2 linked regions of the Cricetulus griseus genome follow. The protein of the gene in region 2 purifies or fractionates together with the protein of the main gene of each other region. This does not show direct contact. Links are inferred from orthologs where the notes say so. Each region holds a gene or a part of one and is shown on either strand. Other genes may lie near its edges.

Region 1 (3,965 bases), on a different chromosome or scaffold from region 2:
CCACCCTTTGATCCTTGGAAGTAGTGGTGAGGATGAAGCAGATGCTGGAGAATTCAGAGGGAGGCAGGAAAAAAGCTGGATGTTTGGTGAAATTGTTCATCAACTGCCAGTACTCCTGGGCTTTTTCACTTTTGTAAGCCAGTAAGTTTCCTGTGTTGTTAAACCAATTATTTGAAACCAAAAGCAGACTAGTTTATTAATAGAGTTCGTCTTGGTAAAAAGTCTCACATGCACCTTAAGTGTTATTTAATTTTCCAAATACATTCCCTGACTCAAAGTGAACAAGGACATTGGTAAGCTTATTATCTGAGCTGCCAGTCCACATATGTGCTCACAAGCAGGTCCCTGATGTGGTACCCCAGGTCTCAGGGAGGAGCAGGGTCTACCAGCTGCTCATCCCCTCAGGCCTCACTTTAGTTTATCATTCCATTATGGGGAGTCAAGATTTGTCCCACAAGGCCCAAAGCCCATGCAGGAGGCCGTTGGGCAAGAAAGGCCAGTGTAGTCCCAACAACATTCAGAGTTGCTTCCTTGGCAAGAGTGGAGGGGCAGGAGTAATGTCCTGCAGGTGGCTATCTTCCAGCCTCAACTGCTCCCAGGGGGTCCTCCTCAAAGGAGCTAGTACTTACATGACCTTTAGCACCCAGGCATAGGTTCAGTGAAAAGAAGAACCACTGTCTTCAGCTTACATTTCTATCTCCTCCTCAGCACCCTGAGTTTCTTCTTAAGCAATGAAGGTGTGCAAACTGAAAGTCCCTGTACACAGGTGGCAGAGGAAGCATCCGTCTCATGCTGTGGGAGAACGCTGGGTGAGGAGACCCAGGAAGAATCCTAGTTGTGACACTGCTTTGTGGAGTCACCTGCTGTCCCTCATGGATGAGACCGACTTCCAGGAGGAGCCAAGCAGATAGGGTCCCCCCAAGAAGAGCTATGTCACAAAGGCCCAGGATATTCCATCTGTGGCCCATGCTTGGCTACCACTTCACTTTTGGCTTCAGTTTGCTTACTGAACACAAGATGGCACTGCAGTTGGTGATAGCAGACTCCCACCTTGAGCCGGGAAAGAGGGAAGGAAACTTATTCAGGTCAGAGGAGTGGTCACCACTAACAGACTCAATGGTAGGGGACCTAAGTGGCACAGAAACTTGACTTAAGCCATACAACGGAGCTAGGGTATCTTTCTGATCCTCCAGCCCCTGACTTTGTCATTCATCAAGAGCACACTGGCTGCAGCAGCAGAGGGACTCTGGATGGCTACCACTTGGCTTCCTATGGAGATTTGCCAAGGGTATGCCAGACATACTAGAGGACAGGTGACAGGGACTAGTGGCTTCCTGAGGGAGTCACTTGAGTGTGTATGTTGAGTGGGCTAAATGGGAATGTTAAGGCCCATCCCTCAAAACAACACACTCTTTCTCCTACAGAGGCACTTCTACAGCTGGCTAGACTTGGATTCTGGCTGTCCCAAGCCATTGCTAGGTGTTTCTACAGTGCAGCCTCAACTGTCCTGTGGAAGGCAGAAGAGAATTCAGGCCAAGTACTTTGAGTAGTGCTTAGCACCTAGCAAGAACTGGGTACATACCAGCTATTATTATCACTATGAGCCAAACTGCGACATGAGAACACATTTAATGCAACATGCAGCTGTGGCCTGACCTGGGATTTCTCCCCCCACTCCCAGAAATGCTATTTGGAGAACCCTTTTTCCATAGACTCAGTTACTTCAGGGTGTAGAAAGCGGCTGGCCAAACGTTCAATGTCATCCAGTGTTAGGCGGCTCAGAGATCTGTCATAATCCTGAGAAGAGAAGACCAGGTGGGTTCAGGGGGTGCAAGCAGGAAGGGGTATGCTGTAATAGGTGGGGGCTGGGGCTAGAAACATTAAGATTGGAGGTCCAGAATTATTCTGCTCACCCTCTGTAGTTGTTCCAGGACCCTGCTGGTATCTGCTACACTGAAGTGACGGGCCAGGACTTTGGAGATCAGCTGCCAGAGGGGTGGGGGTGGGGAGTCGACCAGTCTGTGGGCAGACCCTTCTTCCAGCAGCACCTTCTCCAAAGGTTTAACGACTAGGTTGAGTTTAGAATTGGGCCCAATGTTGTAATCTGACAGTCGTTTCTCATCTGCCAAAGAGAGATTGGTGGGGTTCCTTCCTCATTGTTGTGGGGGTGGCCAGAGAGCAATCCTGCCATGGACAGCTAGAGTGAAACACTGCAGCATCTGGCTATGGGGTGGTGGCGTCTCAGCTACTTTTCCAAGGTTTAGTGGCAGCCACTGCTCTAATCCATTACACTGGCCTGTACATCCCGTCCCCCAACTTCCAACTTCCTACTTCCTGTGGGGGGTCCCTGGATGGCTCCTTTCCCTGGTTACCTGTTAGGGCCTTGCCCTTGAACAGCAGACGTTGCTGGCGCACAGGGACGTTCAGCTTATCCGAGACCAGATGCTTCAGTGTAGACACTAGCTCGTCCTCCGGCACCTGATCCGGCCGAGGTGGAGAGGCAAGGGCTTAGTCCGAATTCCCTGGGCGATGCAGCCCTAGTGCCCCCTCCTGAGGTTAGCTCTCCTGGCCTCCCCCGCCCGCCATTGGCCCCAGCGGCAGGAGTGTGTGAGTGTAGCAGCCTGCAGGGTAACCTTACCTGTAGGCTGCACTCCCGGCCCTGGAGCGCCTTCACGGTCAGCTGCATGATGCCCACAGCCGCGTCCACTAGGACCAATGTAAACCCCAATGGTCCCCTGCCGCGCGCCGCTGCCCCGGGCGCGCGCCGGAACCGCCCGCCGCCGCCGGAAGCCGTGAAAGGGGCGAGCCCGCCGCGTGGCTCCCGCCCGGTCCCGCCTCCAGGCCTTTGCGCCTGCCTGAGCCTGGGGTAGCGTCCACCGCCCTGGGCCCACAAGCCTCCAGCGGCTTTGGTGCAGGGAAGTGGGGCCATTCCGCCCACTGGGATAGGAGCGAGGAATCTGTAGGGTCAGGCTTGCTTCACCGGGGAGCTGTGGCTTGAAAGGAAGGACCAGAATGTCAGCCTCATGCAAGGCCTGACCTGTTAATTCCTACCCTGCTGGTGGACCACATCAGGGCAAACATGTAGTAGTGTCTCTCAGATACAGAAATGGTCCAGTCCTACCTGCCATAGCCCAATGGCTTTCTACTTCTTCCTTTCTAGTCTGGTTGCAAAAATATCCTGGCCGAGGCTCCAAAGTAGTGGACCTAGGCCTCTATCTCTTCACTCATTATAGAACAGAGTCCTGCCCTGTTCTGATAGAGAAAAGCCTTTGCAGATCTGGAGATATAGCTCAAAGGTACAACACTTGTCTACCATGTGCAAAGCACAGAGGAAGGAGAGAGTGGGCTCTGTGCACGGTCACCAAGCCTGTTCACCATCCTGGTCCATATCAACCCAGACACACTCTTCCTATCCCCATCCATACACTCCAAGGGACAAAGACTGGAAGGGACCCAAGCTTGCTTTTGTCTTTTATTGAAATATATTTCTAACTCAGCATGGCCTCTTTGGCACTGAAAGCTGGAAAAAAAAAGCCTGGATTTGTCTGAGTGCATAGTGCATGAGAACAAAAGGCCTTTGGTACAGAACTGTGGGGACAGTGGATGGAGTATGGGGGCTGGGGTTATAAAACTTGATCCAGGGTCCTCATGGAACAGGAAACAAGTTGCTGTAGATGAACTGGCCAATAACCAAAGCCAGCATCTCGGAGGTACCACTCAGTGCCACAATGAAGGGGGCCTGAGAGGCATAGTCTGCTTGAAGGCGACGCAGAGACAGCTGCAGCATAGCTAAAGCTAGCAAGCTGTTTTGTACCCCTACCTCAATGCTGACTGTCCGCCGCTGGGCCACTGGCAGCTTCAGGCACATGGCTAGGCTGTAGCCCACCAAAAGGCCAACCAGGGGCACTGTGAAGCCCACCAGTACGATGGGTAACCTGACTCCCACTAAGATGAAGACCCCCATG
Region 2 (4,085 bases):
TGGAGACCAAAATTTGGATCTCCAGAACCCATGTAAAGGTGGACACTGTAATGACCCTATACTCCCAGGCTGCTCTGTTGAGATAAGAGGTGGAGAACTCCTGGAAACTCTCAGGTCATCTAGCCTAGTGTATACAGCAGTAAACAAGGGAGTCTCAAACAAGGTGGTGGAAGAGCAAACACCAATATATGGAGATGTCCTCTGACCTTTACAGTGGCACATGGGCATGGATATATGCATATGCTACACACACACACAGACACACAGACACACAGACACAGACACACAGACACAGACACACAGACACACACACACACACACACACACACACACACACACAGAGATTGAAACAGATGGACAAAATTCAGATATGACCTAAGTAAATCCCCAGCTTTCTTGTTACTCTTCCTGACATCATCCTTGACTTGCAATCCAGTTTCCATATGACAGCCAGACACGGATTTCTTTTCTTTTTTTTGGTTTTTCGAGACAGGGTTTCTCTGTGGCTTTGGAGGCTGCCCTGGAACTCTATCTATAGACCAGGCTGATTCTGTCTCCCAAGTGCTGGGATTAAAGGCATGAGCTACCACGGCCAGGTACTACTATATTTTTAAAGACAGGCTCTTCCTATGACAGGCCCTGCTGGCCTCAGATTCAGTGATCTATCTGCCTCTACTTTTCTAGTGCTGGGATGAAAGGTATGTGCCACCATGTCCAGCTCTTTTAGTTTATGAACTTGAGAGCTGGGGATGCAGTTAAGCACTGGCCTAGCATACTGGATGCCCTGAGCTTCATCTTAAGCAGCAGCAGCAGCAGCACCGCTGCCAACAACACAATAATAACAACAACAAAAACATGAGTATGGGGCTAGAGAGATGGTTCAGCAGTTAAGAATGTGTACTGCTCCTCCAGAGGACCCCCAATTACATAGGGGTGGGAGTTCACAATTGCCTGTAACTTCAGCTCAAGGGAGTCCTGATATCTCTGGCCCCTGTATATATAATTAAAAATAAAGTTAATCTTTAAAAGAATAGCTTTCTTTCTTTCTTTTTTTTTCAAGACAGGGTTTCTCTGTGTAGCTTTGGAGCCTATCCTGGTACTCGCTCCAGAGACCAGGCTGGCCTCAAATTCACAGAGATCCACCTGCCTCTGCCTCCCGAGTGCTGGGATTAAAGGTGTACGCCACCAATGCCTGGCAAAGAATAGCTTTCTTAAAAAAAAAAAAAAAAAAAAAAAGCTTTCTATCAAACTTTGACTCAAAGCCAAACTACTTGCTCAGCCAGCAAAACCTCACAGTGTTTACCTCTGGTTGGTCTTCCTCCTTTTCATTCCCTCCCTTTGCTTGCTTAGTTCCATTTTGTCATCTTTCTTCCTGTTCCTTAAAGGTTTCCTTCCCACATGTCCCTCTGGGGGGATGGGGACAGGGACACACCAAAGAGATGAATATGTAGACTATGAATGGCCTGGTGGCTGCTGGTAGGTATGCCCCCAGAAGACTTTATGGTTGGAGCTCACTGGTTAAGAGCACTGGCTGCCTTTCCTGAGGGCCTGGGCTCAATTCCCAGCACCCAGATGGTGGCTCATAACCATCTGCGACTCCAGTATTAGGGGATTTGATACCCTTTTCTGGCCTGCATGGGTATAAGGCATGCACCTGTCATTAAAACAAAACCAAAAAAAAAAAAAGGGGGGGGGGAACCTCAGCCTGAGAGGCCCCCAGCTAGCTTACCATAGCAAAGAGGTTGTCATAGCCTTTGACCTTGGTAGGCACCTTGGAGAACTTCTGATCAAAAGCATCTGAGATGTTGTGGGCTGGGTCTGTGGAAATGATTAGAACACTCTCACGTCCTTTAGACAGCTGGACCGCTAGGCTGCAGCTGCACAGAAGAAAGGTGGGAAGACAAGAAGTGAGGAGCCAGCTTTGGTAGTGTGGGTTTATAACAGGAAATGCAAGGTCGGGCCACAGAGACCTGGATCAGGCAGACCTTAAAAGCAAAGTACCGGTCCCATTGAGATCATGCTTTGATACCCGCAGAGATCACCACCTGACCCTTCCATTTGGACTGGACTGGTGTGCAGTTTTCAGTTGATTGGTTCGGCTTGTTTGAGTGCCTGCTTCTGCCTTTTTGGCATACAGTGGCACAGTCCAGCTGCACAGCCAGCACAGACTGCTCTACTTCACTCACTCCACTTGCTCAGGGACAACAATGTACTTCACCTCTCAATGGACTGTAATTATGTGCCTTTTACTCCTTCCCGCGCTGGGCATCAAATGGAAGGTTCGTCATACTATAACAGCTTCCACTGGTGTCCCTGCCTCTACTCTGAACTTCCTGGGGGGACTGTCCATCCGATTGCGGTATTTAAATGCTCCTCTGCACACCCCACGCGCTGGATTCACAAGGCCCAACGAGGGATAATCCAACCCAGAACGCCAGGCTTGCATTTAGGAGGTATCTTCGGCAAGCTGCCGTAACTTCCCGAGAGTACAACCCCGAAGAGCCCCGCTCAGCTCGCTTTGCCCCGCTTGGGATGAAAAGGCCGGTCCCTGTCCTCCCCTTCGTCCGGTGGTACATCCCACCCGCCTTCCTGGCCCCACCAGAGCCTCCTTACCTGCAGGTGGTCTTACCCACGCCACCCTTGCCCCCGACGAAGATCCACTTAAGGCTGCGCTGCTCGATGATATTGCTAAGCGTGGGTTCCAGCGGCTCCACGTCAGGAGCATCCTCGAACTCCTCTGCCTCAACCCCCCACCCGGCCACCCCCGCCGCCATCTTGGAGCCGGCTCACGTGATCAAGCGGAACGCACCACGTCCTAAGCAACTACAGGGGAAATGAGTCTGCCACATCCCTGTGCAGGCTGGAAGTCTGACTTATTTTCCTCCTGAGTTGACACTTGGGGACAATGGACGCTGTATTTTCCCGTTTTATGCGTCGAAGGTTCCCCTTGGTGAACTTTCGCCTGCAGTTTTCTAAGAATTCCCCTGCCTTGTGAGCGTAGTGGTGTGACCCACGGTAGTGCCCTTCACTGATTGGGTCCTCCGTCTTGCGGCACTCTTTCCATTGGCTGCATCCCGTCTTACTTCCGCTAGCCACGCTCAAGTCCCTGTGGGCGTCAACCTCTGTCTCCTTAGCAACCAGCCAAACATCCTGTCTAAGCTCTTTGAACGAAGTTACAGCAGAGGTGTCTCTTGCCTCGATTCTATAGGCTCCGTTTCCTGATTATCTTTTCCCTCTTTCTTTCTGCTTTGGACCTCAACGTCTCTTCTTGTCCGCCAGTTACTCTGTTGGCTGTGAGCCACCTGACTCCGGCCGCAAAACGATCACGAACGAAATGGTTAGTAGGGTCGCTAAAAGGCAAAGAGACTCCATTTGTGGCAGAGCACGCAGACCTTTGTCCCGTGTGCCCGGAATACCCATGCTGGGCAGGAGTGCTATTTGTCACAGTCGAGAGAACTTTAACTTCCGAAACTCTAGCTGCGCTTGGCGCTCTGCTCACCCCCATCCCCGTGCACACGTGTGTGCTCCAAGTCTAGCCAGTGCTGTCTGAACTGAGTCCCTGTCCTCGGGGAAGAGTACGAGGAGGGTTCTTAGTCCCTTGGTGCAGAACCCAGCTCAGAACATTAAGTCTTAAGAGAAGGATCAGGCTGGAAATATCTCCGGCTTCATTTGAGTGCTCAACTTGTAAAATACTACGACTCTCAGACAGGGCGTCTAGCTGCACGCAGCCAGCAGTATCCTTACTTAAAGGTAAGAGATTAAATGCCGAGGCAGATGCCCGGTCTAGAGAAGCTCCCGTTTCTAATAGGAGGTGCCGAGTCAGACAGATATGCTTTCTAGACCTAGTTAGGGGCCACCCAAGTTCCCAAGTGTACGCAAACAACATTCTTTCAATTACAGAGTTCTGGTGGCCGACTATGATTGTGCTCTCAGCCTTTAGAGGGATCGCGGGCCCCAGACGATGGTTCCATTCTGTCTGGCAGGATTAGGGAAATCCGAGGAACAGAAGGCAAGGAACCCGGCTTCTAGGCTCCACCCACTGGTCGCCAGGTCAGAGCACCTTTGCCCCGCCCAAGTCCCGCCCA

The links. The genes of interacting proteins can lie anywhere in the genome.
Region 1: the proteins of Get3 (region 2) and Ubl4a purify together in Homo sapiens (affinity purification with mass spectrometry; 4 studies listed by BioGRID and IntAct, with this or other methods). This does not show direct contact. The link is inferred for Cricetulus griseus from reciprocal best matches to the Homo sapiens genes GET3 and UBL4A.

Annotation. Positions count from the first base shown.
Region 1 is NC_048604.1:1,347,720-1,351,684, reverse strand, and holds the start of Ubl4a (ubiquitin-like protein 4A), read right to left. Parts: upstream 2,801-3,965; 5' UTR 2,687-2,800; coding exon 2,639-2,686; intron 2,479-2,638; coding exon 2,373-2,478; intron 2,123-2,372; coding exon 1,914-2,122; intron 1,798-1,913; coding exon 1,723-1,797; coding exon of another isoform or gene 1,687-1,722; exon of another isoform or gene 1,051-1,686; coding exon 934-1,050; 3' UTR 1-933. Other genes in the region: Slc10a3 (P3 protein), read right to left, coding at 3,647-3,965. UniProt on the Homo sapiens protein: As part of a cytosolic protein quality control complex, the BAG6/BAT3 complex, maintains misfolded and hydrophobic patches-containing proteins in a soluble state and participates in their proper delivery to the endoplasmic reticulum or alternatively can promote their sorting to the proteasome where they undergo degradation.
Region 2 is NC_048596.1:159,342,156-159,346,240, reverse strand, and holds the start of Get3 (ATPase GET3), read right to left. Parts: upstream 2,801-4,085; 5' UTR 2,775-2,800; coding exon 2,614-2,774; intron 1,878-2,613; coding exon 1,730-1,877; intron 1-1,729.